4 linked regions of the Macaca mulatta genome follow. The main gene of each other region encodes a partner of the protein of the gene in region 3 in a complex. Links are inferred from orthologs where the notes say so. Each region holds a gene or a part of one and is shown on either strand. Other genes may lie near its edges. The genes, in order: ITGB5, INKA1, PAK4 and LIMK1.

What was found.
Region 1: the proteins of PAK4 (region 3) and ITGB5 are in contact, whole or in part, in a crystal structure (PDB 7S46), measured with the Homo sapiens proteins. The link is inferred for Macaca mulatta from reciprocal best matches to the Homo sapiens genes PAK4 and ITGB5. Residues at the interface, in NP_001014831.1 of Homo sapiens: Gly330, Ser331, Gln358, Arg359, Leu362, Thr404, Lys442, Ser443, Asp444, Asp458, Phe461, Leu475, Val476, Gly477, Thr478, Pro479, Tyr480, Trp481, Met482, Glu507, Glu512, Phe516, Asn517, Glu518, Pro519, Pro520, Met524; in NP_002204.2 of Homo sapiens: Ser762, Arg763, Ala764, Arg765, Tyr766, Glu767, Met768, Ala769, Ser770.
Region 2: the proteins of PAK4 (region 3) and INKA1 are in contact, whole or in part, in a crystal structure (PDB 4XBU), measured with the Homo sapiens proteins. The link is inferred for Macaca mulatta from reciprocal best matches to the Homo sapiens genes PAK4 and INKA1. Residues at the interface, in NP_001014831.1 of Homo sapiens: Ser331, Gln358, Arg359, Glu361, Leu362, Thr404, Asp440, Lys442, Ser443, Asp444, Phe461, Leu475, Val476, Gly477, Thr478, Pro479, Tyr480, Trp481, Met482, Arg489, Glu507, Glu512, Phe516, Asn517, Glu518, Pro519, Pro520, Met524; in NP_976248.2 of Homo sapiens: Gly178, Arg179, Ser180, Arg181, Gln182, Pro183, Leu184, Val185, Leu186, Gly187, Asp188, Asn189, Cys190.
Region 4: the proteins of PAK4 (region 3) and LIMK1 are in contact, whole or in part, in a crystal structure (PDB 6WLY), measured with the Homo sapiens proteins. The link is inferred for Macaca mulatta from reciprocal best matches to the Homo sapiens genes PAK4 and LIMK1. Residues at the interface, in NP_001014831.1 of Homo sapiens: Glu329, Gly330, Ser331, Gln358, Arg359, Leu362, Thr404, Asp440, Lys442, Ser443, Asp444, Phe461, Leu475, Val476, Gly477, Thr478, Pro479, Tyr480, Trp481, Met482, Glu507, Phe516, Pro520; in NP_002305.1 of Homo sapiens: Lys505, Arg506, Tyr507, Thr508, Val509, Val510, Gly511.

What each region holds. Positions count from the first base shown.
Region 1 is NC_133407.1:158,910,082-158,917,119, forward strand, and holds part of ITGB5 (integrin beta-5 precursor), read left to right. Parts: intron 1-1,964; coding exon 1,965-2,214; intron 2,215-7,038.
Region 2 is NC_133407.1:113,274,956-113,282,228, forward strand, and holds INKA1 (PAK4-inhibitor INKA1), read left to right. Parts: upstream 1-3,684; 5' UTR 3,685-3,711; intron 3,712-3,756; exon of another isoform or gene 3,757-3,779; 5' UTR 3,780-3,886; coding exon 3,887-3,937; intron 3,938-4,670; coding exon 4,671-5,468; 3' UTR 5,469-5,511; downstream 5,512-7,273. Other genes in the region: UBA7 (ubiquitin-like modifier-activating enzyme 7), read right to left, coding at 5,786-5,915, 6,377-6,477, 6,554-6,646. UniProt on the Homo sapiens protein: Inhibitor of the serine/threonine-protein kinase PAK4. Acts by binding PAK4 in a substrate-like manner, inhibiting the protein kinase activity.
Region 3 is NC_133424.1:50,256,972-50,264,009, reverse strand, and holds part of PAK4 (serine/threonine-protein kinase PAK 4), read right to left. Parts: intron 6,077-7,038; exon of another isoform or gene 5,998-6,076; intron 5,145-5,997; 5' UTR 5,072-5,144; intron 3,864-5,071; 5' UTR 3,841-3,863; coding exon 3,637-3,840; intron 571-3,636; coding exon 112-570; intron 1-111. UniProt on the Homo sapiens protein: Serine/threonine-protein kinase that plays a role in a variety of different signaling pathways including cytoskeleton regulation, cell adhesion turnover, cell migration, growth, proliferation or cell survival.
Region 4 is NC_133408.1:51,624,050-51,630,717, forward strand, and holds the end of LIMK1 (LIM domain kinase 1), read left to right. Parts: intron 1-3,058; coding exon 3,059-3,114; intron 3,115-3,355; coding exon 3,356-3,513; intron 3,514-3,602; coding exon 3,603-3,765; 3' UTR 3,766-4,994; downstream 4,995-6,668. UniProt on the Homo sapiens protein: Serine/threonine-protein kinase that plays an essential role in the regulation of actin filament dynamics. Acts downstream of several Rho family GTPase signal transduction pathways.

The sequences.
Region 1 (7,038 bases), on a different chromosome or scaffold from region 3:
TGATTATTTGATTCTTTATGGTCTAGTTAGTGAAATATGCCTTGTTGTCGTGGTGGGAGGAGAAGAGGGAGCATAGAGGATTGAGTTCCCTACAAGTTAAAGAAGTCTTCAGTTTGCTGGTTGTCAGCTTGAGATGAAAGACTGGTTGCTCTGAGATGTGGCTGCCGGCAAGTCAGGTGTAGACTCGCTGGGCAGGAGTGAGGCCATCTTTGCTCTAGTGCCTCTAAACACACAAAGAATCTATCCAAATTTCAAGTATGTATAGATGGTTCTACTGCAGGGTAAATAGGACATCTCTTGGCACTCCTGAAAGGTTAATGAGCCCAAGGCAGATATGAGTTGAACTGAGCCTTAAAGTTCGTTCTAAGTGATTTGTTTTTAGAAATTATGAAATGATTTCAAGATCATTATCCTGGCCTGGGTCTTCCAGTTATTGCCCTGACTTGAGCCTCTCTTTGAACTCTATAGAGTGAGACAGCAAAGACCACACCTGCCAGACACTGGCTTTTTTCTTTGTTCTTTTCTTCTGAATTAATTCCGCTTTTCTCTGCCTGTCGGCTACCTTATTGTAGCTGGTAGACAAATCTAGTGCTATCTTTTCTCTTCTCGTTTTCTTTTTTCGATAGAGCTAAAATTTGGAATCTGTCTTCCTGTATTTATATCTGTAGTTTCTGATGATAATGAGTTGTACCTGTGATGTCCCGAAACATCAAATATGCCCCCCAAAGTAAATACTAGTCTGGTAAATGGTGAGGGAAATAGAAACAAAAACAGGTGACGTGGCATAGGCATGCATATTTTTGCCCATCGGGGTATTTTATTTATTTATTTATTTATTTGAGACGGAGTCTCGCTCTGCCGCCCAGGCTGGAGTGCAGTGGCTGGATCTCAGCTTACTGCAAGCTCCGCCTCCCAGGTTTACGCCATTCTCCTGCCTCAGCCTCCCGAGTAGCTGGGACTACAGGCGCCCGCCACCTCGCCCGGCTAGTTTTTTGTATTTTTTTAGTAGAGATGGGGTTTCACCGTGTTAGCCAGGATGGTCTCGATCTCCTGACCTCATGATCCGCCCGTCTCGGCCTCCCAAAGTGCTGGGACTACAGGCTTGAGCCACTGCGCCCGGCCCATTGGGGTATTTTAAACAACCATCTTTGTTTCTCTGTCCTCCCTTGCCTTGCACATCTCTCTCCCCAGCTTGGTTCTTCCCCACTCAGGCTCTTTTGTTCATTTCTTCCCTGCTTTTTGTTTCAAACACACATTCCCATCGTGGCTGGGTCTTTCTCTGGAGTTGGTGTGTGGTTGGTGGGCTATTCTCCACCTAGTTTGTGTTCATGAAATTGTCTGGTTCACGGTCCACTGATTACCCAAGGGTCCTTGTTGCTGAGTAGACAGAACACCACCAAGGAGCCTGGCTGTTAGGGAGTTTCCTTAGAAATGCTAAGCCCAGGCCAAGTGTGGTGGCTGACACCTGTAATCCCAGCATTTTGGGAGGCTGAGGTAGGTGGATCACTTGAGGCTAGGAGTTTGATACCAGCCTGGTCAACATGGTGAAACCCCGTCTTTACTAAAAATGCAAAAATTAGCCAGGCATGGTGGTGGGTACCTGTAATCCCAGCTACTCAGGAGGTTGAGGCATGAGAATCACTCGAACCTGGGAGGCGGAGGTTGCATGAGCCAAGATTGCCCCACAGCACTCCAGCCTGGGTGACAGAGCAACACTCTGTCTTAAAAAAATAAAATAAAATAAAAAAATAAATGCTAAGCCGAGTGTTTGGGAAGGAGAAACCAGGCCTCCATTCTCAGCACCGTATTCCCTTCAGGCACTTTACTTCCAAGAAAAATCTTCTGGGAGGCACACAATCACTAAAGAAAAGTAAGAGGTGAACTAGCTTTGAAAGCAAATCCCACCCCTCAGCCCTTAGCAGGTTGCATGACCTCTAACACGGGTGGCCTCTCTGTTGGTGCAGGTGACAAGACCACCTTCCAGCTACAGGTTCGCCAGGTAGAGGACTATCCTGTGGACCTGTACTACCTGATGGACCTCTCCCTGTCCATGAAGGATGACTTGGACACTATCCGGAACCTGGGCACCAAACTCGCGGAGGAGATGAGGAAGCTCACCAGCAACTTCCGGTTGGGATTTGGGTCTTTTGTCGATAAGGACATCTCTCCTTTCTCCTACACGGCACCGAGGTACCAGACCAATCCATGCATTGGGTAAGCGACCATTTGCCCTTCTGTTGGGTACTTAAGGGTGGGAGAATGGAGTAGCAGGAAAATTTAGCTCAAAGAAAGAATTAAGGAAGGCATGGTTAGGAGGGGTGGCCAGGCTTAGGTGTTTAATTTGATTAACGATAGGCATACATTCTCTCCTTTCCTGACCTGTCAAGAAGTGAGTGAACTGTCACAAGGTTGTAAAGATAAAATGATCACAACCCCTTGATTATCCTGCCTGCCATGCACAGCACCACTTGCTCACATTAATAGAACTCAGAAAATGTCCTCAGGGAGTGATGAATCCAGATTATCAGGGAGGCAGCAGGCAGGGCAACTTAAACTTTCCCCTTGCTTGTAGTAACTGAGGTGCCTGGGGAGAAATGAATTCAAAATTTGTCCCTGTTGTTTTTCTATAAATAACTATAACTTATTTTCACATAATTAGACTAAAATCCTATTTTAAAGGTAAGCATTTTTTTTTCAACATAAACACCTGAACTAGAAAAGATTTGACATATTATTAGAAAACAGGTGTCTCTAACTGCTGCAACAGAGTCTATAATAACAAGGTGTATAATTTGATGGAAGTTTATTTCCTGCTCCTCAAGTCCAGCTGGGTCTCTTCATTTGTGGAACTTCTCCTGCAAGCAGTGACTCAGGGACCTAGGTGCCTTCCATCTTCCAGGCTTTCCATCTTCCACACATGGCTCCTAAGGTCATGCTGCCTAGAGGGTCATGCATAGGAGGATAGGCCTTTGCCATGCCTGCTCCCACATGTGATTAGACGGAACAGAACTGAGCCAGGAGGCTGAGAACTAGTATAGCTCTATGCCCAGGAATCAGAAGAAATAGGATTATTGAGCAGGTCTCTGCCATGGGGTGTTTGTGTGCATGTTGGGGGTGGTGGTTGTATGAGGGGATTGCATTCTTCAGCCCATGAAACACAACCTCTACTAGATTGGTTTCTTTCCTTTTTAGTCTTTCAGGAGTTCCTTTAAATGTCAAGATTATGCAAGTGACTGCAGTGAGTGGTAACTTCCAACTCTTGCTTTCCTTGTCTCCGTATTTAACTTTAGTGAGGGTTTGTGTTGTAAGGTCCAAAACTAGTCATGAGATAGGGAACAACTAAGACTTAAGTTTTTACTAAGTGTCAAGCCCTTACTAAATATTTTCTATAGATTATCTCATTTAAATCTCATAACAATCTGGTGAGTTTTCTAAGGTAGGTATAAGCCAGATGTTAAAGATGCAGACACTGAGGCCTAGAGAGAATAACTTACCCAATATTATACAAACAGCAAGGGATAGAGCTGGAATATGAATACAGACTACTTTTTTAATTTTAATTTTTATTTTTATTTTTTTATTTTTTTGAGACGGAGTCTGGCTCTGTCACCCAGGCTGGAGTGCGGTGGCCGGATCTCAGCTCACTGCAAGCTCCGCCTCCCGGGTTTACGCCATTCTCCTGCCTCAGCCTCCCGAGTAGCTGGGACTACAGGCGCCACCACCTCGCCCGGCTAGTTTTTTGTATTTTTTAGTAGAGACGGGGTTTCACCGTGTTAGCCAGGATGGCCTCGATCTCCTGACCTCGTGATCCGCCCGCCTCGGCCTCCCAAAGTGCTGGGATTACAGGCTTGAGCCACCGCGCCCGGCCCAGACTACTTTTATAGTCTGCATTTGCTTTTTTTTTTTTTTTTTTTTTGAGACAGAGTCTTACTCTGTTGCCCAAGCTGGAGTGCAGTAGCGCGATCTCAGCTCCCTGCAACCTCTACCTCAGCCTCCTGAGTAGCTGGGATTACAGGTGCATGCCACCACACCTGGCTGATTTTTGTATTTTTAGTAGAGATGGGGTTTTACCATGTTGGCCAGGCTGGTCTTGAACTCCTGACCTCAGATGATCCACCCACCTTGGCCTCCCAAAGTGTCGGGATTACAGGCATGAGCCACTGCACCCGGCCTGCATTTGCATTTAATATAATGCCTTCTTCCCCATTAAAATCACACTACAACACAGATACTTTACCTTAGGCTGAGTAATAATACCTGCTCCAAAACCACCCTACCCCAATCTCCTAGGCTTACCTGAGGATAATGGTAGGCTATGTGGCAGTAATGTACAGTCTCCAAATCTCAGTGGCTGAACACAGTGAAAGTTTTTGTTTTTTTTTTCTTGTGCAAAATCTGATGAGGGCTGAGCTGCTTTCCTTGCAAGCTCTGCGTGCAGTAACTCGGGGATGCAGCTCCTTCCATCTTGTGATGCCACTCTCAATTCTTGGTCTTCCAGCTGCCACCAACGGAAGAGAAAACCCCTGAGCCCTTCCCTCTCCACAAGTCCTCTTTGGTAGCCTTCAGAGCTGCCAGCTCCAAGTTGGGCTGGGTGGTGGGAGTGAGTTAGTGTGCTGGTGGCATGGGCTCTTCTGAGTCCCTCCGGATCCTTCTGTACATCTCCTAGAAGCTGACTTAGATCTTCTCCAGGGATTGGGAACTGACACTGGTAGAAAAACAGTAAGACAAGAAAAAGTTTTAAATACAAATGAAACTCTAAATTCTTTAACCACGAAGAGGCACTAGGCATCATCATTTGCTGGGTTTAGCTTCCTCCTGGCGACAGGTGTCCACAGGGACTATTATTACTTTGATCCTATCTCCAAGGCCCTTTTCAACTAAGTCCGGGTGCCAAATGTTTTTTGTTGAAATTTTACTACTTACCAGGAGCAACAGCATCTTAACGGCAAGCCTTAATCAAGCCTTTTTTCAATTCATCTGGAATAGTGATTTTATTTGCTTCTTTTCACCTCTGTCCTAATTGGGCCCTGTCTCCAGACAGATAGGGTGTGTCCCCACTTTCATTCTTCCACGGCCCTTCCACTGACTGAGACACTAGATTGGAAGCTGGCAGAGAATCAAGGGCTGGCTCTAGGCGCACAGCATTTAAATATTCAAAGTTATGACACATTACTTATTCAGAGCTTACTCTCTCAGTCCTCTAAGGCAGAACCCGTTGCAGACAGTAAAACTCTTGACAGTGAGTACAAGGCACACTGAAAAGCTGCTTGTAAGGCAGGAAGTCCAGTGAAGAACGAGAGTGTGGAAGGAAACCTCGGGCCTGAGTTATGTGAAGCTCTCTTCTCTGAGCTGGGGCGCACACGCAGTGCAGGGGCACACTGTGGCGTGGTGAGCAGGCTGAGCTTTGTCTCCCCAAGTCCAGGCAGCACGGCATCCTGTGCCTCCTGGGTTCAAATGATTCTCCTGCCTCAGCCTCCCGAGTAGCTGGGATTACAGGCACATGCCACCATACCCAGCTAATTTTTGTATTTTTTAGTAGAGATGGGGTTTCACCATGTTGGCCAGGCTGTCTTGAACTCCTGACCTCAGGCGATCTACCTGCCTCGGCCTCCCAAAGTGCTGGGATTACAGGGGTGAGCCACCGCGCCCGACCTAAAGTATTTTAAATTATTCTGTTTCTGTTTCTTGAATTGTGGATCCTTCAGGTGGATCCACAGCAGGTCAGTGTATTGGACCTGCTGACATGCCTTCATGAATTGTTTTTCATGCAATTTGTAAGCTTTTCATTAGTACATCTTCACTGGAGGTTGTGGGGGCATCCCTGCAGAGCAGTTTTATGTTTGCTGCTGTCGAGAATCTCCAGGTTCACCGTGGGACTAGTTTTTCTGTTAACTTTTCAACTGGAGATGTCTTCACCATAAAGGCAGTGTATTCCAGTTGCTCAGGCCTGGAATTACAGTTTTTATGGGTAATTCATCTCATTCGTGACAGACGGTCAGCTTCCGTGCCGCTTTCCCGGACCAGTAGCTGGAGTTTTTCTGTTTCTGGTTTTAGTGGCACAGCAGCTCATTGTAGTGTTGGGCTTTATGCAGAGAGCCCTATTCCAGTGTTCAGCCCTGTGCAGGAGTGATGCTCAGCATCTCTTCCTGGTAGACCCTGCTCCAAGCCTGCAGGGCCTCAGTCAAGGCCTGACGCATTGCAGGGGTCCTTGGCATGAGTGCCTACCCATTTCCTACCTTTTTTTTTTTTTTTTTTTTTTGAGACTGAGTCTCGCTCTGCTGCTCAGGCTGGAGTGCAGTGGCACGATCTCAGCTCACTGCAACCTCCACCTCCTGGGTTCAAGTGATTCTTCTGCCTCAGACTCCTGAGTAGCTGGGATTATAGGCGCCTGCCACCACGCCCAGCTAATTTTTGTATTTTTAGTAGAGATGGGGTTTCACTGTGTTGGCCAGGCTGGTCTTGAACTCCTGACCTCAAGTGAATCGCCTCAGCCTCCCAAAGTGCTGAGATGACAGGCGTGAGCCACTGCACCCGGCCCCCACCTATTCTTTTAAGTCCATTCATTTGTTTTTTGGGTTTTTTTTTTTTATATTTTTAAATTTTATTTTGTTTTATTTTATTTTATTTTTTCCAAAACCAAATACTTCTGAAAGTTTCATTCATTTATTGAATGGGTTCCTCTTCATTTCTGGGATTTACTTTCTGAGCTTCCAGTCTAGGCTATATATTAAAAATTTTTAAATTACATTTTATCCAGCAGTTCTATATGGTTAGCATTAGAAGAAGCAGATAAGGTGTTTTCATTCCTGTTCCATGACATGAGAGCCTTTCCATGCCAGCTTGATCCATGATAGTCTCCTGAGGCATTAGATTGTTTTCTGGATTTGCCTAGGTCTGGTGTCTTCAAATTGGATTCGCTCTTTATACATACAGACACTCCCTTGGCTTTTTAACCATATATATTTTATTTTTTATCTCCCTTGTTAATAATCCTTAATTTAGTAACTGTGTGCGTGGTGCTTATTTGGGGTCTCACAG
Region 2 (7,273 bases), on a different chromosome or scaffold from region 3:
CAGTGCCATGTGGGGCTTGGAAATTTTAGGTCTGCCTTTGTGCCCCCACAGTCCCCAGTTGTACACATGACCTTACCTTGCCCACATAGGTCCCTTGCCACCTGGCCAAGCTGGGTGGGTTGAAGAAGGTGGTGGGTGGCTGGACATTGAGCAACTCCAGGGTGGGTGTGGGCATGTAGGAGGAACAGTTGAAGGAGAAAAACTGAAGGATTGTGCCAGGGCCCTGGTTCTCAGAGACATTTATAAACCTGCAGAGGTCTGTGAAGAGCAGAGAATTCAGGTTGGAGGCCCCCAGGCTGATGGAACCCCCCAGGCTGATGGAACCACATATACTAGCATAGTCCTGTCCTTTTGCTACAGGGCCTGACCATGCCACGGGGCCACACAGCTAAGGCCTTTCCTTATATCCAGCATCCAACATTTCACAGATGGGGAGTGAGAACTTGGTTGAGGAAGCAGCCAAGATAAGGGGTGAGGGCCAGGGGTTCAGATTCTTATACTTTCCTACCTCTCCCCCAATCCCTGTCCTCCATGGTAGCTTATCTGGGAAGGGTCAGGACTCCAAGGGAAAACTAGGGTTCCCCCACCCATCACCTCCTCACCAGAGACCACCAGAGCAAAGAGGAACACAAGAAGCCTGAGCAGCACCAGGATGACCTGAAGACACAGACAGCAGAGGAGGCTTCAGAAAGCTAGGCTGTTTGTCTGACTCACTCTGTTGCCAGGTCAGTTGCTCAAACATAGCTGGGCAGGTGGGACTCCTGGGCCTCCCAGATTCTATCCCCGCCCATTCCTGGTGACTGAGTTCTAGACCTCTGTCAGGCTTCCAGAGGCTCAGAATATCCCATTTTCCATTGCCCCCATTCATTACAACTCTAAGGGCATGGAAGGAGAGGAGGATTAAGGTTCAGATGAGGAAACTGGTAATGCAATCCTTGGAGATAGAGCAATCACAGCACCCAGGAAAATTGGGCCCAGGACCTGCTACCCCACAGAGTCTCAACTCCAGCTGGACCCCCTCTATTAGAACATTATCTGCCTATAAAAAATGAGCCCAACCATCAACAAAATCTTTGAAAACTTGCTGGGTGTGGTGGCTCACATCTGTAATCCCAGCACTTTGGGAGGCTGAGGTGAGAGGATCACTTGAGCTCGGGAGTTCGATATCAGCCTGGGCAACAAAGTGAGACCCCATCTTTACAAAAAATTAGTTGGGTGTGGTGATCCAGGCCTGTAGTCCCAGCTACTTAGGAGGCTGAGGTAAAAGGACCGCTTGAACCCAAGAGATCAAGGCTGCAGTGAGCCATGATTATGCCACTGTACTCCAACCTGAGTGACAGAGCAAGACCCTGTCTCAAAAAAAAAAAAAAAAAAAAAGCTGTCTACATCCAATAAGCAAAAGGAATCCTTTATGATAGAAATACAAATACTGGTTACCGTTGGGAATATCAATTGGATAGGGCACCAGATGGCATCCAGGAGTTGCTGAGGATGTTCTATACCTTTATCTGGGTGGCAGCTGCACAAGTATCTACAGATTTTAACATTTATTGAGCTATAACTCTGAGATCTGTCCATTTATTGTATTTGTATGTCATTTTTTAAAGTTTTCTGGCCAGGCACAGTAGCTTATGCCTGTAGGGGAGGCCAAGGCAGGAGGATCATCTGAGATCAGGAGTTCGAGACCAGCCTGTACAACATGGTGAAACCCTGTCTCTTAAAAAAAAAAAAAAAAAAAAAAATTAGCTGGGTGTGGTGGCACATGCCTGTAGTCCCAGTTACTTGAGAGGCTGAGATAGGAGGGTCACTTGAGCAAAGAGATCGAGGCTGCAGTGAGCCAAGATTATGCCACTGCACTTCAGCCTGGGCGACAGAGTGAGGCCTTGTCTCAAAAAAAAAAAAAAAAAAAAAAAAAAAACGGTTGTCTTTATTTGCCGTCTCCAGTTCTTCAGCCCTCACTCTCTTCTCCACACACTCTAATCAGGTTTGTCCCTCTCTACATAAAACTGCCCTTGTCAGGGTTCCCAATGACCTATGCACTGCCGAATCCAGTGGTTTGTTCTTCACCCTCACTGCCTCGGCAGCATTCAATGCTTGCTCCCCTTGGCTCCTGAGTCCCCACATTCTCAGATTTCTCCTGGTTGTTTCTGCTCAGCTTCTTTGATAGTTCTGCTTCATATCTCCCCTACCTCCACCTCGTGGAATGTCCCAGGGCACAGTCCTGATTGCTGTCTCCCTCTACACTCATTTCCTCCCACCCCACCTCATCCAGGCCTATGGCCTTACATACCATCCTTTCACTCACTATTCCTCCCAGATCCAAGGCTCCAGTGCTGATCTCTGTCCTGAAGTCCAGAGTCATACACCTAGCAGCTGACTCTGCAACTCCTCTTGGATGTCTATCAGGCATCTCAAGGATTACATGTCCATAAATGATCATTGGATTTTCCTCTCCAAATCCACTCTTCTCCAGTCTTTCCCAGATCAGTTTATGGCAATTTCATCCAACCAGCTGTTAATGCCAGAAATGTAGGAGTCATGCTTGATGCCTCTTTTCCTGCCCACATCCATGCATCAGCAAGACTTGATTTTAGCTCCAAAGCATACCCCAAAGTGACCCCCCTTCAGTGCACCTGCCCTGCCCAGGCCTAGGCCCTCCCCTTCGTTGCCTGGATGACGGCAGGGGCTTCCACTCTTATTGCAGAATCCTTTTCTGAAAGCAGCTGGGATTATCTAAACAAGAGCTAGCCCAGGTCATTCCTGCTCAGAGGCCCCCATTGCTCCTCATCACACCAAGAACAAAACCCACATTCTGCTCTAAGGCCGTTAGAGCCTGGTTTTGCTGACCTTTTCCCTTCTGCCGCCACCACCAATCACAGACACCTGGGCCTTCTTTATGTTTGGCCCTGTCCAGCTCCTGTCCCTCGGGGTCTTTTCCCTGGCTGCTCCTTCTGCCTAGAATGCCCCTCCTCTTGATTGCATCCTGATGTCACCTCCTCTGAGATTGCCCTTCCCCAGGCTAGCCCATGGCCCTCATTCCCTGGTATTTTCCTGTAGCTGGTATGTCCAGTCTGTCTGCAGCTACACTACTCTTGAGCCTAGCCTGTTTGATAGAGCAACCTCAGGAGACAGGCTCACCCCAGCACCCACCCTCAGTCTGCACCTGGTACCGGCAGAGGGCATGCCGATGGTCGCGGGTCGCCGCTGGACTCGCGACTAGCCGAGCACTCCCCACTAGAGGGCAGTCCCGTCTAGCTCGGTTGGAACGCGGCTGAGGCCCCGCCAGTGCGCTGCCACAAAGTCCCACCCTCTCTGAGTCCTCAGGCCGAACCCCACTTCCATCCTGTTCAGGGAGTGCCGAGGCCAGCCTCAGGAATGGGTCCCGTGGGTCAGGCCCCGAGTGGGCCACAACCTCTCTGGGTCCGACCATACGGGGCGCTCTGCCTATGTGCGGGCGCAGCATGACGCCCCGTTAGAGGGACCGCTATTTCACCATTGAACAAATGGGGAGGATGAGGCCCCCGCACGGAGGCGACCTGTCCTGCGTCACGCAGCAAATGCAGGGTCCACACAACCATCTGGGGGCTTGGGTATCCCGGGCCCGACCCCGTCCGGCTTCCAGCTACGACCCCGCCCTTCCCCCAAGAACGGCGGCGGAGTCCGGAGGGACGCCGGGTTTTAGCCCCTCCCCCTTTGGCCGTGGGGCCGGGGCGGGGCGCGGCTGCCAGATGTCGGGGCGGCGGCGGCGGGAGCTACGGAGAGCGAGGAGCCGCGCAGCCAGGCGGAGGCTGAGGGCGCCGCTGGCCGGCCCGCCCAGCCCTCTCCGCGCGGCTCCGCCGGGGTTCCCAGAGGAGCCAGCAGGCTCAGTTGGGGCCCCGGCACGGACATGCACAGCGCTCGGCTTGACAGCTTCCTCAGCCAGCTCCGCTGGGAACTGGTGAGGCTCGGGAGCGGGTGCGGTTAGGGAGGACGCGTGCGGGGTGCCAGGCTGCTGCCCGGCCGGAACAGCAGACGGGTGCGGGGTGGCTGCAGCGTGCCCGTCCGAGGCGGGATGGGGGCGGCGCGGGGTGGGGGCGGCGCGGCTCATATGGCTCAGATGGTCCGCGTCGGATTTCGGAGGGTTGGGAACTGCGCTGAGCATCAGATAACAGCATCCAGCTGGCCGTGCTGCTGGAACGGCGCGGGAGGAGAGAGTGGAAGGGGAACTTCTTTGGGGGTGGGGCATGGGGCGGCAAGGGACTAACGAGGTGCTAGCACTGCGGTGAACGCCCCGTACTTCAGGCTGGCCTATGCCTCCCTTCTCCACCCCTCACCTAGCAAGCGCTCTTTCTGTGAAAAACGCTTTGGGCTTTGGGAGCTGAATCCCCCTCCAGTCCTGGGCAGGACCTACTTCCCTGCTCAGGCCCACAACACTGCCTGCCCGCCCGCCCGCCCTGGTGGCGGGTGTCGACTTGCCCAGCCCTGCGTGCTGCAGCCTGCCGGACTGCCACCAGGTCGGTGAATGAGAACCACACCAGCTTCGAGTGCCAGCACCCCATGCCTGCCCTGTGCTCACTAGCACCCTGCTGCCCAGGCCAGCAGGCCTATCTAACCCTCCTGGACCCTCTGTACTCTGGGCTGACCTGGTGACAAGTGATACCTCTCTGACTTCTGCCCTCTCTTCCCCTCAGTTGTGTGGTCGGGACACAGGCTCACCCCCGATGCCTGGTCCCCTGCAGCCAACCCCCCAAACTGGCCCAGATGTGCAGCCCCGCCACCAGCTTAGGGCCTCAGGTGCTTTGGAAGAAGACTCAGTCTGCTGTGTGGAGGAGGAGGAAGAAGAGGCAGTGGTGACAGAAGACAGGGGTGCAGCCTTGGGAGGCCCCAGGGAGCATGCCCTGGACTGGGACTCTGGCTTCTCGGAGGTGTCAGGCAGCACATGGCGAGAGGAAGAACTACCTGTTCCCCAGCGCCCAGCACCCTCAGCACAGCCCCTTCGTAGGCAGCGCCTCTCAGTCAGTGGCCTCCCCATGCCCAGCAGGGCCCCTGTAGCCAGTGTACCACCTGTCCACCGTCCACGGCCCAAGTCCACCCCAGACGCCTGCCTGGAGCACTGGCAGGGACTGGAAGCAGAGGACTGGACAGCAGCCCTACTGAATAGGGGTCGCAGTCGCCAGCCCCTGGTACTGGGGGACAATTGCTTTGCTGACTTGGTGCACAACTGGATGGAGCTGCCTGAGACAGGGAGTGAAGGAGGTGATGGAGGTGGGCACCGTGCCCATGCTCGGCCCCCTCAGTTCCTGCTTGGCCTCTCCGAGCAGCTTCGGCGCCGGCTGGCCAGGGCTCGGCGGACAGCTATGGCAGGAAAGCGGCTGTCATGCCCACCTCGCCCAGAACCTGAAATGCCTGCGGATGTCTCACGCTTCGCAGCCCTCATGAGCTGCCGTAGTCGCCAGCCCATCATCTGCAATGATGTCAGCTACCTCTGACCCTGCCCTCCAGCCTGGGACAATAAAAGCCTTATTTCTAGACTGTCCTGGCTTCATACCCCTGAGGCACTAAGAGGCAGCCCCAGCCCTGTGAGGCACTGCCCAGGCAGACAAATCTGAAGAGCTTTTTGTCTCTGTGTGAAGGTCCCTGTCATGCCCATGTCACACCTGTGTGCATTAGTGCACTGTGTTCTATCATCCATCCTCTCCACTATGCCTTCCTTCAACAAGCATTTATTGAGTGCCTACTGTGGGCTTACAATGCAGTGCTTGGGATCCAGGGCTCCATTGAGCTAGGTGATGGGGTGGCTGCCTTGTCACAGCTCATAGTGCAGAGGTGGAAAGGCAGTGTCTTCCTCTTCACCCTCACAGCTCAGCTCCAGCACCAACACCCGCAGCCCAGGAGCAAGTACCTGGCCTGTCACCTGCTGAACCAGTTCTGTCACCCTAGTGGGGGTGGGGTTTAGGGGAGATTGGAGAGGTGAGCAGTGGCAGGCAGTGGGCAGCCTGGCATGGACTAGAGAGGGTGCTGGCAGGCCATCAGGAGCCCAAGCCAGGAGCAAGAGCTACTCAAGACAGGAAACATCTGAAACTATTTTAGGAGCAGCTGGTGAGGCAAGCAGGAGGCAGGAAGCTATGGGTCCCTTGGGAGTGGGCTGTGAAAGGGGGGCTGTGCAGCGTGTGGGGAGCCCATGGGGCTGGCCAAGTAGGCAGCTCCTGAAGACTCCTCCTCAGGCTCTCGGCCCTCACCCCACCTCCAGCCTTTTTTGCTGGCTCCATTTGGCAAAAGAATGCTTGGGAAGATGTGAGGAGCCCAGAATGGGGCTGGGAAGACAGAAGGCTGTGTGGCCCCTAGCCCCAGCCTCCAGGGACTGGTGGGGCCTGTCTAAAGCCCCAGGTGGGCTCACCTGAGGGGCAGGCGCAGGGCCTGCTTTTCAGGCGACCATCCGGCGGAATAGAGCAGGGCTGGGCCGTGCAGCAGCATCCTCACCCTCAACCCGTGCTGCTCCTAGAGGGAGAAAGGTCAGACACCAGCTGGGCCGGGCTGGGCTGAGCCTGGGCGTTGGGGTAGGGACAGGGCACACCTGAAGATGAGCCAGCAGCAACTCCAGGGTCCTCTCAGGCTGCCCAGCTGGTACCTTCAGACGGTCCCAACAGGTCCACTTCAGGTGATGGAACTGGAATGAGGTAGAGGAGGAGTGAGAGACTTCTTACCTACCCCCAACCCCCATCCCAGTTACCAGCAGCCTTTCCTAGGGGAAGAGCTGGACTAGCAGGAAGCAGGAGCCAAGGGGTGGAGGGTGGGGGGGAGGTGGGATCTGGGCCCAGAGTCTCAGCCCCCTCCCCGCCCAGGCTGGGGCCAGCACAGGAAATGGGGCTATGGGGCCCGCACAGGGAAACAGACGATCCATCACACGGGCCAGTCGTGAGGGTGGGGGATGAGGGGGTGGTGCTTCCTGAGGAAACCCACAGCAGGGCCCCTGCAGCCTCTGATAAAGCTGCTTGTTCCTCAGAGACAAGGCTGGGAGCTGAGGGGCACATCCTGTCCCCCAATCTTATATGTATTGCCAGTGCCTTGGGCTACTCATTGGGACACGGGCAAAGGCCACAGTGACCACCAGGGCCCCACTGTCCCAGAGACCCCAGCAGGGATACAATGCATACAGGCTTCCTCCTCCTGTCCCCTCTTTCCTTCCAAGAGTCTTGGGGTTCTGGTACCTAGAGCTAAGGACAGAAGGGCAGCTAGCAGGTATCTAGAGACAAGGACAGGGGGTGCCTATCAGCCCCCAAGAAAACACTGGGGT
Region 3 (7,038 bases):
GACACATGGGTGGTCAGGATGAGATGCATGGTGGCAGGGTGGGGCTGGAAGGTGGGGACGGAGGAGCAACGGGCAGGGGACAGCGGGGCCCTGGGGCGGGGGATGGGTTACCTGGGCACCCCGGGATGGGTGGTCCGTGTCAGCCCTCGGGTAGGTGTTAAAGGGCCGGCCAGCTGCCAATTTCGCCCCACTGGCCAGACCAGCAGGCTGGGGGGTGCCGACGTCAGGCCCGGAGAGGGGGCGTTTGTCCCGGGAGGGCTCCTGGGGCCCCCCTGAGCCCTCCCTGGAAGACTTGGGCCTCTTCTCTGGCCCCACCCGTCGCCTGTCACCACTGCCGCCACCCGCCTCGCTGTGACTGGCGATCCGGCCTTGGCTGCCTGCCTTCCCCGGGCCCCCTCTGGCCGTGGTGGCCGGCTCCTCCGGCATCCCATTTTCCTGGCGGGCACGGGCGGGCGGCGGCGGGCTGTCTCTCCGCAGGGAGTTGGAGCGTGTCACCGACATGTTCTCAAACTCATCCAGCAGCAGCGTGAGTGCCCCATCCTTGGCACCTTTGCTGCCCCGCACGATGGTCTGGGGTCCCAGTCAATGGTGGGTGGGGGCCCAGCAAGGAGTGGGGCACACAGGACGTGCATCCGACACGCGGGGACGGGACAGCACGACACACACAGAGACAAGACGGAGACGCAATGAAGAGATGCCATGGAGTGACAATGGCATGGGTGGTACGGCCCCTCCCCTCCCTGGGGACGCGGCTGCAGAGACCGGAGGAGTGATCCCCATGGCCAGGCTGCTGCCCCCTGGGCTGGGTGGGACCCTGGGGAGGCACCCTTTGTTCTTCTCCTGTTCCCCACACTGGCAGAATAGTCCTGCCCTGTGGGGTTGGGGGAGGGAGGGCAGAAGCCAACCCATCCCCATCCCATAATCGGCCCCGAGGACTGCAAATGACAGGGAGCTGGGGCCTGGCCTGGCCTGGCACTTCCTCCCCTGTGGGCGCCAGTGCTCCTTAGCCCCAAAACCACACTCTGCTCCCATGAACAACAAGGGGTGGGGGACAGGGAGGGTCAGAAAGGCCTGGTCCCAAAGTACAGGGCAAGGGGGTCCCAGGAGCCGGGTGGCAAATACAAACGCAGGTGGGGACCAGGCAGAGCGTCCAGTGCGTCCCAAGTCACCCTGTCCCCACCCTCCGTGGTCTGAGTCGTGTCCTGCAGGGCCCCTCTGTCCCCGCCCCATTTCCAGGCACACGGGTGTCTCCCCACCACACCCCCGCCCAGGGCCTCTGCTGGCTGCTCTCTCTGCCCGGAACATCAGCTCTCAGGGTCACCGTGGCTCCCTCCCTCCACTCCTTCAGGTCTTCACTCAAAACTCAGCTTCTCAATGAGGCTTCCGCTGGCCACCCATCATCTAAAATGCCAGCCCCTGCCCTGCCTGCATTCTACCCAGAGCGCCTGACAGCAGCTGATATAGGGCACACAGGCATCTGTCTGCTCCCGGCTCTGCCCAGTGCAGGCTCTGGGCAGGGATGGTTTTTTCCTGTCTGCTTCAGGTCCTGCTACATCTCAGCACCTAGACCAGCATCTGGCACACAGCAGGGGCTCCGTGAACTTTTGCTAAACCGCGGAGTCAGTGAGGCGGCTGTGCAGAGGCCACGGTGAGCTGAGAACGTGGGCCCTGCTGACAGGGACCCTGCCCGGGGTTCAGATATCCTCCAGCCGGAGGCCTGCCTCTAATGTGCAGAAAACACTGACGCCACAAACCCGTGGTCTGCCGCTGCCCTGCCTCTCCTGGCCGTGGCTGTCTGCCTGAAGCCGGGCCTTGCCCAGGGGCCCCAGGAAAGCAAGGTGGACACTAGGCCAGTCTTTGCTTTTAGAACCGGGAATTGAGGCTAGGAGCGGTGGCTCACGCCTATAATCCCAGCACCTGGAGACCAAGGATCACCTGAGGTCAGGAGTTTGAGACGAGCCTGGCCAACATGGCGAAAACCCATCTCTACAGAAAAGACAAAAACTAGCTGGGCATGGTGGTGGGCAGCTGTAATCCCAGCTACTTGGGAGGAAAATCACTTGAGGCAGGAAAGTCACTTGAACCCAGGAGGTGGAGGTTGCAGCTAGCCAAGATGGCGCCATTGCACTCCAGCCGGGGAGACAGCAGGAATGTGTCTCAAAAAAAAAACAACAAAAACAAAAACAAAGAAACAAACAAAAAAACACAGGGGGTTGAGAGGGCCCTGGAAGGCCTGAGGTCCAGACAAGGGCAGCAAACACAAGCGCCCATGGGGCCCCAGGACAGTGCCGGCCACGAGGCCCTGTGTGTGAATTCAGGTGTCCTGCCTCCTGGTGGGACCGCCACAGGCAGGCCTCACATCTGGCGAGCCAGGCAGGAGCTGGGTTTTTGGAGACACCTTGATGTGGGTCAAAGCCTACATGCAACTGGCCACAGAGCCAGGCAGGGCGTGGAGCTGAGGCGGGTTGGGTGTGGCCTGCGGCCCAGAAGAGCCAGTACCCGGCCTGCAGAGGCCACTGCCACTCGGCTCCAGCTGGTCTGTCACCAGATGCCAGAAACGGCCTCGGAAGTGGTCTGTCACTTTTTCAGTGGTGGCAAAGAAGTCAAAGCATTCAAAAGCGTCCTGTGTGGGCCACATGGAACCCTCAGTGGGCCACCACACTGAGCTGCACTTGTGTCTACGGCCAACTTGTGGGCCCTTGGGGCTCCTCCCCGCCAGGCCGGGCTGGGCACCCGGAAGGGTGAGTCCCCAGGCACACCCATCTCCACCCGCTGGAAGCAAACCTGGCCGAGCTCCCCCTGGCCTGCGGCCCCTCCCGGTCCCCACTGACCACGGGAGAGAGTCCAGGCTCCAAGGCTGGCTTCTGAGGCTCAGCAGGGGCTCAGGCCAGGCCAGCCTCGTGCAAGGCCACACCCAGACACCGGCTCCACAACTCTCACCATTTCACATGGAGGCAGGAGAGGGGGTAAGGGCATGGGCCTTGGAAACAGACATTGGTTCAAATCCCAATCTTGCCATTTTGCTCTAGATGGCAGGAAAAAAAAACCCAAAATCAAAAAGCCTGTGTTTCACAGGCGTGATTTCCCCCACTAAAGCCCGGCTTCCCCAGCGCCTGCTGGAACTCCTCCTCCTCCTCCTCAGCTCTGGGCTCCGCCTTGCTGTCCCCTCCTCCCAGAAGCTCGCCTGGAGCCCTGGTCTGGGTCAGGTGCCTCCTCCGGGCTTCCCCATCCAAGCCCTGACCACTCGGGGCTGTCACCCTCTGGGAATGGGTCTGTCTCCCACTGCCACGAGCTCTGGAAAGGCTCAAGAATGTGATGGGAGTGTGGTCTGGGGCACAGCAGCATGGCCCCCGGGGTAGGGGTGGCCGGGAGACAGCAGAGCTTGGAGGCTGGTGTGGGGGCTGCCAGATGGGCCATGGGGGCTCAGGTTGGGGTGGCATGGGTTCTCAGAACTTGGAGCCAGTGGGTGGAGGGTGAAAGGCCAGCGCTGGGCCCAGGATCAGGGTTGAAGGCTGGGGTGTGTCTGTTTCCATGTCAGTGAGGAGGTGTCAGTCATAGGGTCGAGTGTGGGGTTGAGGGCTGGGGTCACTCAGGGGTGGGGGTGGGCTGGGGGAGGTAGTGGTGGCTGCCGCATACCTTGGGGGCCCCGGGCTGGATGGAGGTGATGCAGGCGGGGTCGATGAGGGGCTTTGGCCGGCGAGCCGACTCCTCGATCAGGCTCTGCCACTGGCGGGGCAGCCCCGTGAACTTCTGCTCATGCTGGTCGAAGCCCGTGTGCACGCGGTGCTCGAAGTTGGACGGCGCGGAGATCTCCACCCGCTTCTTCCTCTTCCCAAACATGATTCCGGGCGGCTCGGTGCGGCCTGCGGGAGGGAATCGTGGTGGGTGGGTGAGAGCCTGCCTGTGTCTCTTCCTCCTCTGCCCCTGCCCTGTCCCTTCCAATCTCATCTTCCACCGGAACCAACAGGAGGCAGGTGCCTCCTTCGGGGTCTCCCTGCTCAGCCCCTGCCCCCATCTGTGTGGCACACGCAGCCAGAGGGCACCCGTGAGCACCTGAGCCGCCATGTCCCTCTGCTCAGAACTTTCCTGCCGCTATGTCTCCCGCGGGCCCACAAGCCCCCATCACCTCTCTGTTCTCACCCCCTGGATATCTCAGGGCCTTTGCACAGGCTGGCCCCCCTGCCAGGAGCTCACTTCCAGTGTCCGCACGGGCTCCCCGTCTCCTCCTTCAGTTCTCAGAGCAGCAGTGACTCTTTCCCTGACCACCCCAAGGCAAGCAGCCTCGTGTCCCGCCGTCCCCGCTCTACATCACCGTCACAGCCCAGAAATCCTGTCTGTTGTTCCGTCTTAGGTTGCCGAGGGCAGCATCCACACCACTCGCTAGAATGTCAGTGCTGCCTTCTGGCCAGGTCTCATCTGCCCCGCTTCCCCACATCCCCCGCTATGCCTGGTACACGGTGTGTACTCAATGGACGGTCACTGCTGGCCTGGCCACAGCCACCGCCGCTGGTCCAGCCCTGAGTCTGGGCTGGGGACGCACACACCGTTGGATATTGACTCAGCACAGGGTTACTGAGCCCCTGGGGTAAGAGGGCACCCAGGTAGCCTTGCCACGACACTCCCCTATCTTCAGGATCTGTGGTCTTCAGTCCGGCCCTTGCCATAGTACCAAGCACAGAGCAAACGCTCGACCAAAGCCACTTTAAAAAACAAAGGGGCTGAGGCGGAGACATGCTGATGGCGGCATCTCATAGACAGCCCGGAGAAAGATGGGAAGAGGAGCCAGGCGGCCAGAGTTTGACTCTCCACCACATGCTGCCGTGACCTTGGGCAAGTGACAACCTCTGTGTGCCGTGGATGAACCCCCACAGGGCTGCTGCGAGGGGCCATGGGTGACTGGGAGCCAAGAGCTTGGTGCAGGGCTGGGCAAACGCGGGGGGCCTGTCGGTGGGGGCCACTGTGATGGCCGGGGCGGCTCCCACAGTGTCTCTGGGAGGAGGGGCCCAATTCCTGCTCCCCCGGAAGGCCCCACCCCAGCTGTCCCAGGCCTGGGCCCTGGAGTTGCACACACCTGGTCTGATGCTGGTGGGACAGAAGTGCCCTCAGGCGGGTGACCACTCCTCTAGAGGCTTCGGGTTACTCATCTGTAAAATGAGAGGAATGCATCCGTTCACTCATTCTCTCATTCACTCATTCACTCATTCACTGAGGAATAACTCAGCAATGGGCCTCCTCTGCGGCCACCGCAGCGGCCCGGACAGCCTCTGACCTCATGGGAAGTTCGTGTGGGGCAGACAGACCTGTCCCCGCGCAGCAGCAGCCCAGGTGCAGGGCTGGGGGACGGGAGCACGGGACCCAGCCTGGAAGGACAGTGGGGTGGGCAGTAGGGAGGCTTCCCGGAAGAGGGGAACAGTTGAGACCAGAGGACGGGGGGACACACAGGTGGAGTTTCTCTTCTGTCTTGTTCCCAGCTGGCTCCCCAGAGCCTGGCACAGTGCGCAGCCCAGAGAGTCCTGTGGTCCTAGTGAGAGGACAGAGGATCCGCAGATGCATGCGGCCCCTCCACACCTGCTTCTCCGCCCAGCTCAGGCTGCCTTCATGGGAGCAGCCAGGAAAGGTGAGGCCCTGGCCAGAGCTAGGACCATCGATGGGAGCCAGCCAGGGGAACCGGTTTGGCAGCGGGAACCCCGTGGGAGGCGGGTGGGGACCCGGCAGTCAACCTGTCTCAACTGGTCCCAAGAGGCCAGCGGGTGGTCAGAGCCGGCCTGGCCAAGGCTCCTAGGGTTGGCCCAGTTTCCCTGCTTGCCCTGGGGCCCAGGATGCAGGGCGGGCAGGGGGCCTCCTTTGTGTCTGCCCAGCCCCTTCTCCGAGCCCAATGCTGGTGCCCTGAGTGCTGCCCAGCCCTCCCTCGTGGCCTTCCAGCCCGGCCCATCCCTGGTGGCCCTGACCTACTCTCTCGCTGCTTTCTAGGCCCAGTTCCTAGGGTCATCCACATACCCCAACAGTCCCCATCTCCCCACTCTGCCTGCTGTCACTCCAGAGCTGTGTCCCATGTCCTCTGGCTTCTCTATCCTCCCAGATGTCCCTCCACCCCCTTTGGCCCCATGCCCAGCCCGTGACTCTTCATCGTGAACCTGTCACCCCGCCCATCCCGCTCCCTCCCCACTGCGGGGCACTAGGCTGTTCCCACAGTCACAGGAACAGGATCAGCCATGTGACCCTCACTAAGCCCAGAGGGCGGAGAGCAGGGCAGACCCGGAGGTGGCGGACGCCTGGGGACAGGGCAGGAGAAGCCTGGAAGGCCGGCAGCTGACCCAGCTAGCAGCACGGGGTCTGGGGTATGTCCTCCGAAGCCTGGCCTCCTGCCCTCCCACCCATAAACCCCCAAGGGAAGGGGGCAGGGGGCACGCCTCCGGATATTTGCCTGGGGCCACCCCTTTCCTCTGGGCACTGCAAAGAGGGCAGGACAAACAGAGGAACTGAACATGTTTATAATGACTAGGCAGGGGCCCCACCCTGGGCCCTCCTGGGCAGCTCCAAGCCCTGCTGGCTTCCCCAGCAGGCGCTCCCTTCCCAACATAAGCTCCTGATCTCGCGGGGGCCACAGAGGCCGTGCCAGGCCTGGGAAGAGGGAGAAGAGCTAGGCAGAAAGGCTGGGCTTGCCCAGGTGCAGGGAAGGAAGGGTGGGGGCTGGGCTCCCGGGCCAGCTCCGAGCTTGGCAGTCAGGCTGCCCAGGGCTCCAAACCCCAGCAGGGCTGCTATGACCTGCCCTGTGTGACTTCACTTTCTGTGTCTGTGAATTGGGGATCTAACCCAACCTGGGGACCTCAATATGTGGTCCCGAGTGAGCAACTCAGCCATGCTGTGCCTCAGTTTCCTCCTCTGTTCAAAGATGGCGATGACAGTAGCTGCTTCCTGGAGTATTTATTTATTTTTTTTTTAAATGGAGTCTCGCTCTGTTGCCCAGGCTGGAGTGCAGTGGCGTGATCTCAGCTCACTGCAACCTCTGCCTCCCGGGTTCACGCAATTCTCCTGCCT
Region 4 (6,668 bases), on a different chromosome or scaffold from region 3:
ACCTGTAATCCCAGCACTTTGGGAGGCTGAAGCAGGCAGATTGCTTGAGGCCAGGAGTTCGAGACCAGCCTGGCCAACATGGTAAAACCTCATCTCTGGGCCGGGCGCGGTGGCTCAAGCCTGTAATCCCAGCACTTTGGGAGGCCGAGACGGGTGGATCATGAGGTCAGGAGATCGAGACCATCCTGGCTAACACAGTGAAACCCCATCTCTACTAAAAAATACAAAAAACTAGCCGGGCGAGGTGGCGGGCGCCTGTAGTCCCAGCTACTCAGGAGGCTGAGGCAGGAGAATGGCGTAAACCCGGGAGGTGGAGCTTGCAGTGAGCTGAGATCCGGCCACTGCACCCCAGCCTGGGCGACAGAGCAAGACTCCGTCTCAAAAAAAAAAAAAAAAAAAAAAACCTCATCTCTACTAAAAATACAAAAATTAGCCAGGTGTGGTGGCTCATGCCTGTAATCCCAGCTACTTGGGAAGCTGAGGCAGGAGAATCACTTGAACCCAGGAGCAGAGGTTACATTGGGCCAAGATTGCACCACTGCACTCTAACCTGGGTGACAGAGCAAGACTGTCTCAAAAAAAAAAAAACAACCCCACCTGTAATCCCAGCACTTTAGGAGGCCAAGGTGGGCGGATCACGAGGTCAAGAGATCGATACCATCCTGGCCAACATGGTGAAACCTCATCTCTACTAAAAATACAAAAAACATTAGCTGGGCATGGTGGCACACATCTATAGTCCCAGCTACCCGGGAGGCTGAGGAAGGAGAATTGCTTGAACCCGGCAGGTGGAGGTTGCAGTGATTCAAGATCGCGCCACCGTACTCCAGCCTGATGGCAGAGTGGGACTCTGTCTCAAAAACACACACACACACACACACACACACACACAAACATAGTTAACATAGCCCCCAAAGAAGACTATAAAACAGTCTTAGTTCCCAGGCACAGTGGCTCACGCTTGTAATCCCAGCACTCTGGGAGGCCGCAGCAGGCAGATCACGAGGTCAGGAGTTTGAGACCAGCCTGGCCAACACGGTGAAACCCCATCTCTACTAAAAATACAAAAATTAGCTGGGCATAGTGGCGGGCGCCTGTAATCCCAGCTACTCTGGAGGCTGAGGCAGGAGAATTGCTTGAACCCAGGAGGCAGAGATTGCAGTGAGCCGAGATCGTGCCATTGCACTCCAGCCTGGGCAACAAAGTAAGACTCTCTCAAAAAAACAAAACAGTCTTAGTGTTTCCTATCTGTAGGGATTGGTGTGAGGATTAAAGGTTGTAAACTCATTTCCACCTAGTTGGCATTCAGTAAATGAGAGTTGGTATTCAGTACTAATTGTTTTGGGTATTTCGTTTTTTGTTTTTGAGATGGAGCCTTGCTATGTTGCCCAGGCTGGAGTACAGCGATGTGATCTCAGCTCACTGCAACCTCCACCTCCCGGGTTCAAGTGATTCTCCTGCCTCAGTTTCCTAAGTACCTGACATTACAGGCACCTGCCACCATGCCTGGCTAATTGTTGTGTTTTTAGTAGAGATGGGGTTTCACCATGTTGGCCAGGCTGGTCTCAAACTCCTGACCTCAGGTGATCCGCCCGCCGCAGCCTCCCAAAGTGCTGGGATTACAGGTGTGAGCCACTGCACCCGGCCATGTACCAATTGTTTTTAACATCATTAAGCAACTGGTATCATTCCCATTTTACAGATAAGGAAACAGGCTCAGAGAGTCCATGTCAGTTCCCTGAGGCTGCTGTAATAAATTGTTAGAAACTTGATTATTTAAAACAGCAGAAAATGGTCAGGCATGGTGACTCACACCTGTGATCCCAGCACTTTGGGAGGCCGAGGCAGGTGGATCACTTGAGGTCAGGAGTTCGAGACCAGCCTGGCCAACATGGTGAAATGCCACCTCTACTAAAAATACAGAAATTAGCCGGGCGTGGTGGCAGACACCTGTAATCCCAGCTACTCGGGAAATTGAGGCAGGAGAATCGCTTGAACCCAGGAGGCCGAGGTTGCAGTGAGCCACAATCATGCCACTGCACTCTAGCTTGGGCGACAAAGCAAGACTACATCTCAAAATAAAATAAACAGCAGAGGCCAGGCGCGGTGGCTCCAGCCTGTAATCCCAGCACTTTGGGAGGCCGAGACGGGCGGATCACAAGGTCAGGAGATCGAGACCATCCTGGCTAATACGGTGAAACCCCGTCTCTACTAAAAATACAAAAAACTAGCCGGGCGAGGTGGCGGGCGCCTGTAGTCCCAGCTACTCGGGAGGCTGAGACAGGAGAATGGCGTAAACCCAGGAGGCGGAGCTTGCAGTGAGCTGAGATCTGGCCACTGCACTCCAGCCTGGGCGACAGAGCCAGACTCCATCTCAAAAAAAATAAATAAATAAACAGCAGAAATGTATTCCCTCATAGTTTTGGAAGCCAGAAGGTTGAAATCCAACAGGGCTGCACTCCCTCCAGGGGGATCTAGGGGAGAATGCATTCCTTGCTTCTTCCACTTTCTGGTGGTTTTGTATTCCTGGGCTTGTGGCCGCATCATTCCAGTCTCTACCCCCGTCTTCACAGGGCCACCTCTTCCTCTTCTGCTGTGTCTTCTCTGTATCTCTCTCAAGAGGGCATTTGCAGTGGCATTTGGGGCCCATCCAGATCATCCAGCATCATCTCATCTCCAGATCCTTAACTTAATCCCATCTGCAAAAGACCCTTTTTCTGATCCAGTAACATTCACGGATTCCAGAGACCTGACATGGTTGCCTTTTAGGACCAGCACAGAGTTCATGACCTGCCCAAAGTCACGCAGCTGATCGGTGCCTAGAACTCCTTGTCCAGGCCTCTGCCCCTTGCTCCTCAGAGCTCCCAAAGGCTTGCTCAGACCTGGTGGGGTTGGGGGAAAGAGCCTAAGCCTGGGTTCCCAAGGAGGTTGCCGGCATCTGCCTCCTGGGCCTGGACCTCCCGACCGGGGCATCCTCCCAGCTGGCCCGGTCCCCTGCCTTTTGGCATCCCTGGCACCCCCATGTGTTCATCTGTTGACAGTCGGTCTCTTTGTCCAGGCCGCAGCTATGATGAGAAGGTGGATGTGTTCTCCTTTGGGATCGTCCTGTGCGAGGTAGGTCCAGGGGTGTTGAAGCCTGGGCTCCTCCCCACTCACCCAGGCTGCAGGCTCAGCATCTGCAGGGGCTTCAGGCCAGGAAGGCTGCCCACAGCAAGGCATGGGCTGGCCCCCATGAGGTACCGCAGTCAGGCTGCAGCCAGGCCTGGTGCCACCTGCCCTCAAGCCACCTGGATGGCACCCAGACGCCCAGGCTGAGGGCCCCCCTGGAGTAACTGCTGGGCCTTGTGCTGGACAGATCATCGGGCGGGTGAACGCAGACCCCGACTACCTGCCCCGCACCATGGACTTTGGCCTCAACGTACGAGGCTTCCTGGACCGCTACTGCCCTGCAAACTGCCCCCCGAGCTTCTTCCCCATCACCGTGCGCTGTTGCGATCTGGACCCCGAGAAGAGGTGAGTGGGGTGGGGCCCTGGCCTGGGGGACGGCGGGGCCAATTCCTGGGAGAGCCAGACCCACCTTTCCCCACCCGCCTGTCACCCAGGCCGTCCTTCGTGAAGCTGGAACACTGGCTGGAGACCCTCCGCATGCACCTGGCCGGCCACCTGCCACTGGGCCCGCAGCTGGAGCAGCTGGACAGGGGTTTCTGGGAGACCTACCGGCGCGGCGAGAGCGGACTGCCTGCCCACCCTGAGGTCCCCGACTGAGCCAGGGCCACTCAGCCGCCCCTGTCCCCACCTCCAGGGAATCCACCCCCACCAGATTCCTCCACGGGAGGTGGCCCTCAACTGGGACAGTGGGGGCCCAGGCTTCTCCTCAGAGCCAGGTCCTGACTTGCCTTCTCCCACCCCGTGGACCGCTTCCCCTGCCTTCTCTCTGCCGTGGCCCGGAACCGGCCAAGCTGCACACACACACCATGCCCTCGCCCTGCTGTAACCTCTGTCTTGGCAGGGCTGTCCCCTCTCGCTTCTCCTTGCATGAGCTGGAGGGCGTGTGTGAGCTGTGCCCCTTTCCACAGGCTGCTGCCCCAGCCACCCTGTGCACGCTCCACCTGTCTGGTCCGTAGCTCCCTGGAGGCTGGGCCAGGAGGCAGCCTCTGAACCATGCCCCATGTAATGCTTGGGTGCATGGGCGGGCGCACGTCAGGGCAGAGGCCAAGTTCCCAGGTGTCTGTGTTCCCAGGAACCAAACGGGGAGTCTGGGGCCCGTTTTCCCCCCAGGGGGTGTCTAGGTAGCAACAGGTATCGAGGACTCTCCAAACCCCCAAAGCAGAGAGAGGGCTGATCCCATGGGGTGGAGGTCCCCGATGGCTGAGCAAACAGCCCCTTCTCCCGCTTTGGGTCTTTTTTGGGTCTTTTTTGTTTCTTTCTCAAAGCCACTTTAGTGAGAAGCAGGTACCAAGCCTCAGGGTGAAGGGGGTCCATTGAGGGAGCTGCAGTGCCTGGGCCAGAGCTGATGGGCAGGAGCCGGCTCGGGCAGCGAGAGGATAGGCACAGTGGACGGGGCAGGTGTCCACCAGCAGCTCAACCCCTGCAGTCATCTCAGAGCCCCTTCCCGGGCCTCTACCCCGAGGCTCCCTGCCCCTCCTCATGCCCCTCTGTCCTCTGCGTTTTCTCTGTGTAATCTATTTTTTAAGAAGAGTTTGTATTATTTTTTCATACGGCTGCAGCAGCAGCTGCCAGGGGCTTGGGGTTTTATTTTTGTGGCGGGCGGGGGTGGGAGGGCCATTTTGTCACTTTGCCTCAGTTGAGCATCTAGAAGTATTAAAACTGTGAAGCTTTCTCAGTGCACTTTGAACCTGGAAAACAATCCCGACAGGCCCGTGGGACCATGACTTAGGGAGGTGGGACCCACCCACCCCCATCCAGGAACCGTGACGTCCAAGGAACCAAACCCAGACGCAGAACAATAAAATAAATTCCGTACTCCCCACCCAGGTCCTGCGTGGCGATGTGTGTCTGGGGCCCTGGGGAAACAGTCAAGATAAGAGGAGTTAGTCTTCCCTGATGAGAAGACAAGGATGTGTTTGGTGGCTCATGCCTGTAATCCCAGCACTCCAGGAGGCTGAGACAGGACGATCCCTTACGCCCAGGAGTTCAAGACCAGTCTGGACAACATAGTGAGATCCTGTCTCTACAAAAAATTTTTTTAAATTAGTTGGGCAGGGGCCAGGTGTGGTGGCTCACGCCTGTAATCCCAGCACTTTGGGAGGCCGAGGCAGGTGGATCAGCTGAAGTCAGGAGTTTGAGACCAGCTTGGTCAACGTGGTGAAAACTCGTCTCTACTAAAAATACAATTAGGCCGGGCTCGGTGGCTCACGCCTGTAATCCCAGCACTTTGGGAGGCCGAGGCGGGTGGATCACGAGGTCAGGAGTTCGAGACCAGCCTGGCTAACATGGTGAAACCCTGTCTCTACTAAACAAAGTACAAAAAAATTAGCCGGGCATGATGGCAGATACCTGTAGTCCCAGCTACTCTGGAGGCTGAGGCAGGAGAATGGCGTGAACCTGGGAGGCAGAGCTTACAGTGAGCGGAGATCGCGCCACTGTACTCCAGCCTGGGCGGCAGAGTGAGACTCTGTCTCAAAAAAAAAAAAAAGTGTGTGTATATATATATATATATACACACACACACATATATATGTACAAAAATTAGCTGGGCGTGGTAGCACATGGCTGTAGTCCTAGCTACTTGGGAGACAGACAGGAGAATCGCTTGAACACAAAAGGCAGAGGTTGCAGTGAGCAAAGATGGTGCCATTGCACTCCAGCCTGGGCAACAGAGTGAGACTTTGTCTTCAAAAAAATAGTAATAATAATAATTGGGCAAGCCAGACACAGTGGCTCACGCCTGTAATCCCAGCACTCTGGGAGGCCGAGGCAGGAGGATCACCTGAGGTCAGGAGTTTGAGACCAGCCTGGCCAACATAATGAAACCCCATCTCTGCTAACAATACAAAATTAGCCAGGTGCGGTGGCACATGCCTGAAATCCCAGCTACTTGGGAAGCTGAGGCAGGAGAATTGCTTGAACCCAGGAGGCAGAGGTTGCAGTGCGCCAAGATCGCATCATTGCACCCCAGCCTGGGCAACAAAAGTGAAACTCCATCTCAAAAAATAATAATAATTAGTTGGGCATGGTAGCATGCACCTATAGTCTCAGCTATTCAGGAGGCTGAGGTGGGAGGATCATTTGAGTCCAAGAGATCAAGGCTGCAGTGAGCCATGTTTACACCACTGCACTCCAGCCTGGGCAACAAAACAAGATCCTGTCTCAAAAAAAAAAAAAAAAAAAAGCAGGTATGGAGGGGGGAAGAGAGCACAGCTCAGTTTTAGGTGGAGCTTCACAGGCGGGCCAAGTGAAGATTCTTCAAAAGCTGGGTTTTGGAGGGCCGCGCATATTCAGGAGGTACTGCTTTCGTACTTAATGTTTTCTTGTAAAACTAAAGAGCCCTGGCCAGGCACGGTGGTTCACGCCTGTAATCCCAACACTTTGGGAGGCCGAGGTGGGCGGATCATCTGAGGTCAGGGGTTCAAGACCAGCTTGACCAACATAGAGAAACCCTGTCTCTACTAAAAATTTTTTAAAAATTAGCCAGGTGCTGTGGTGCA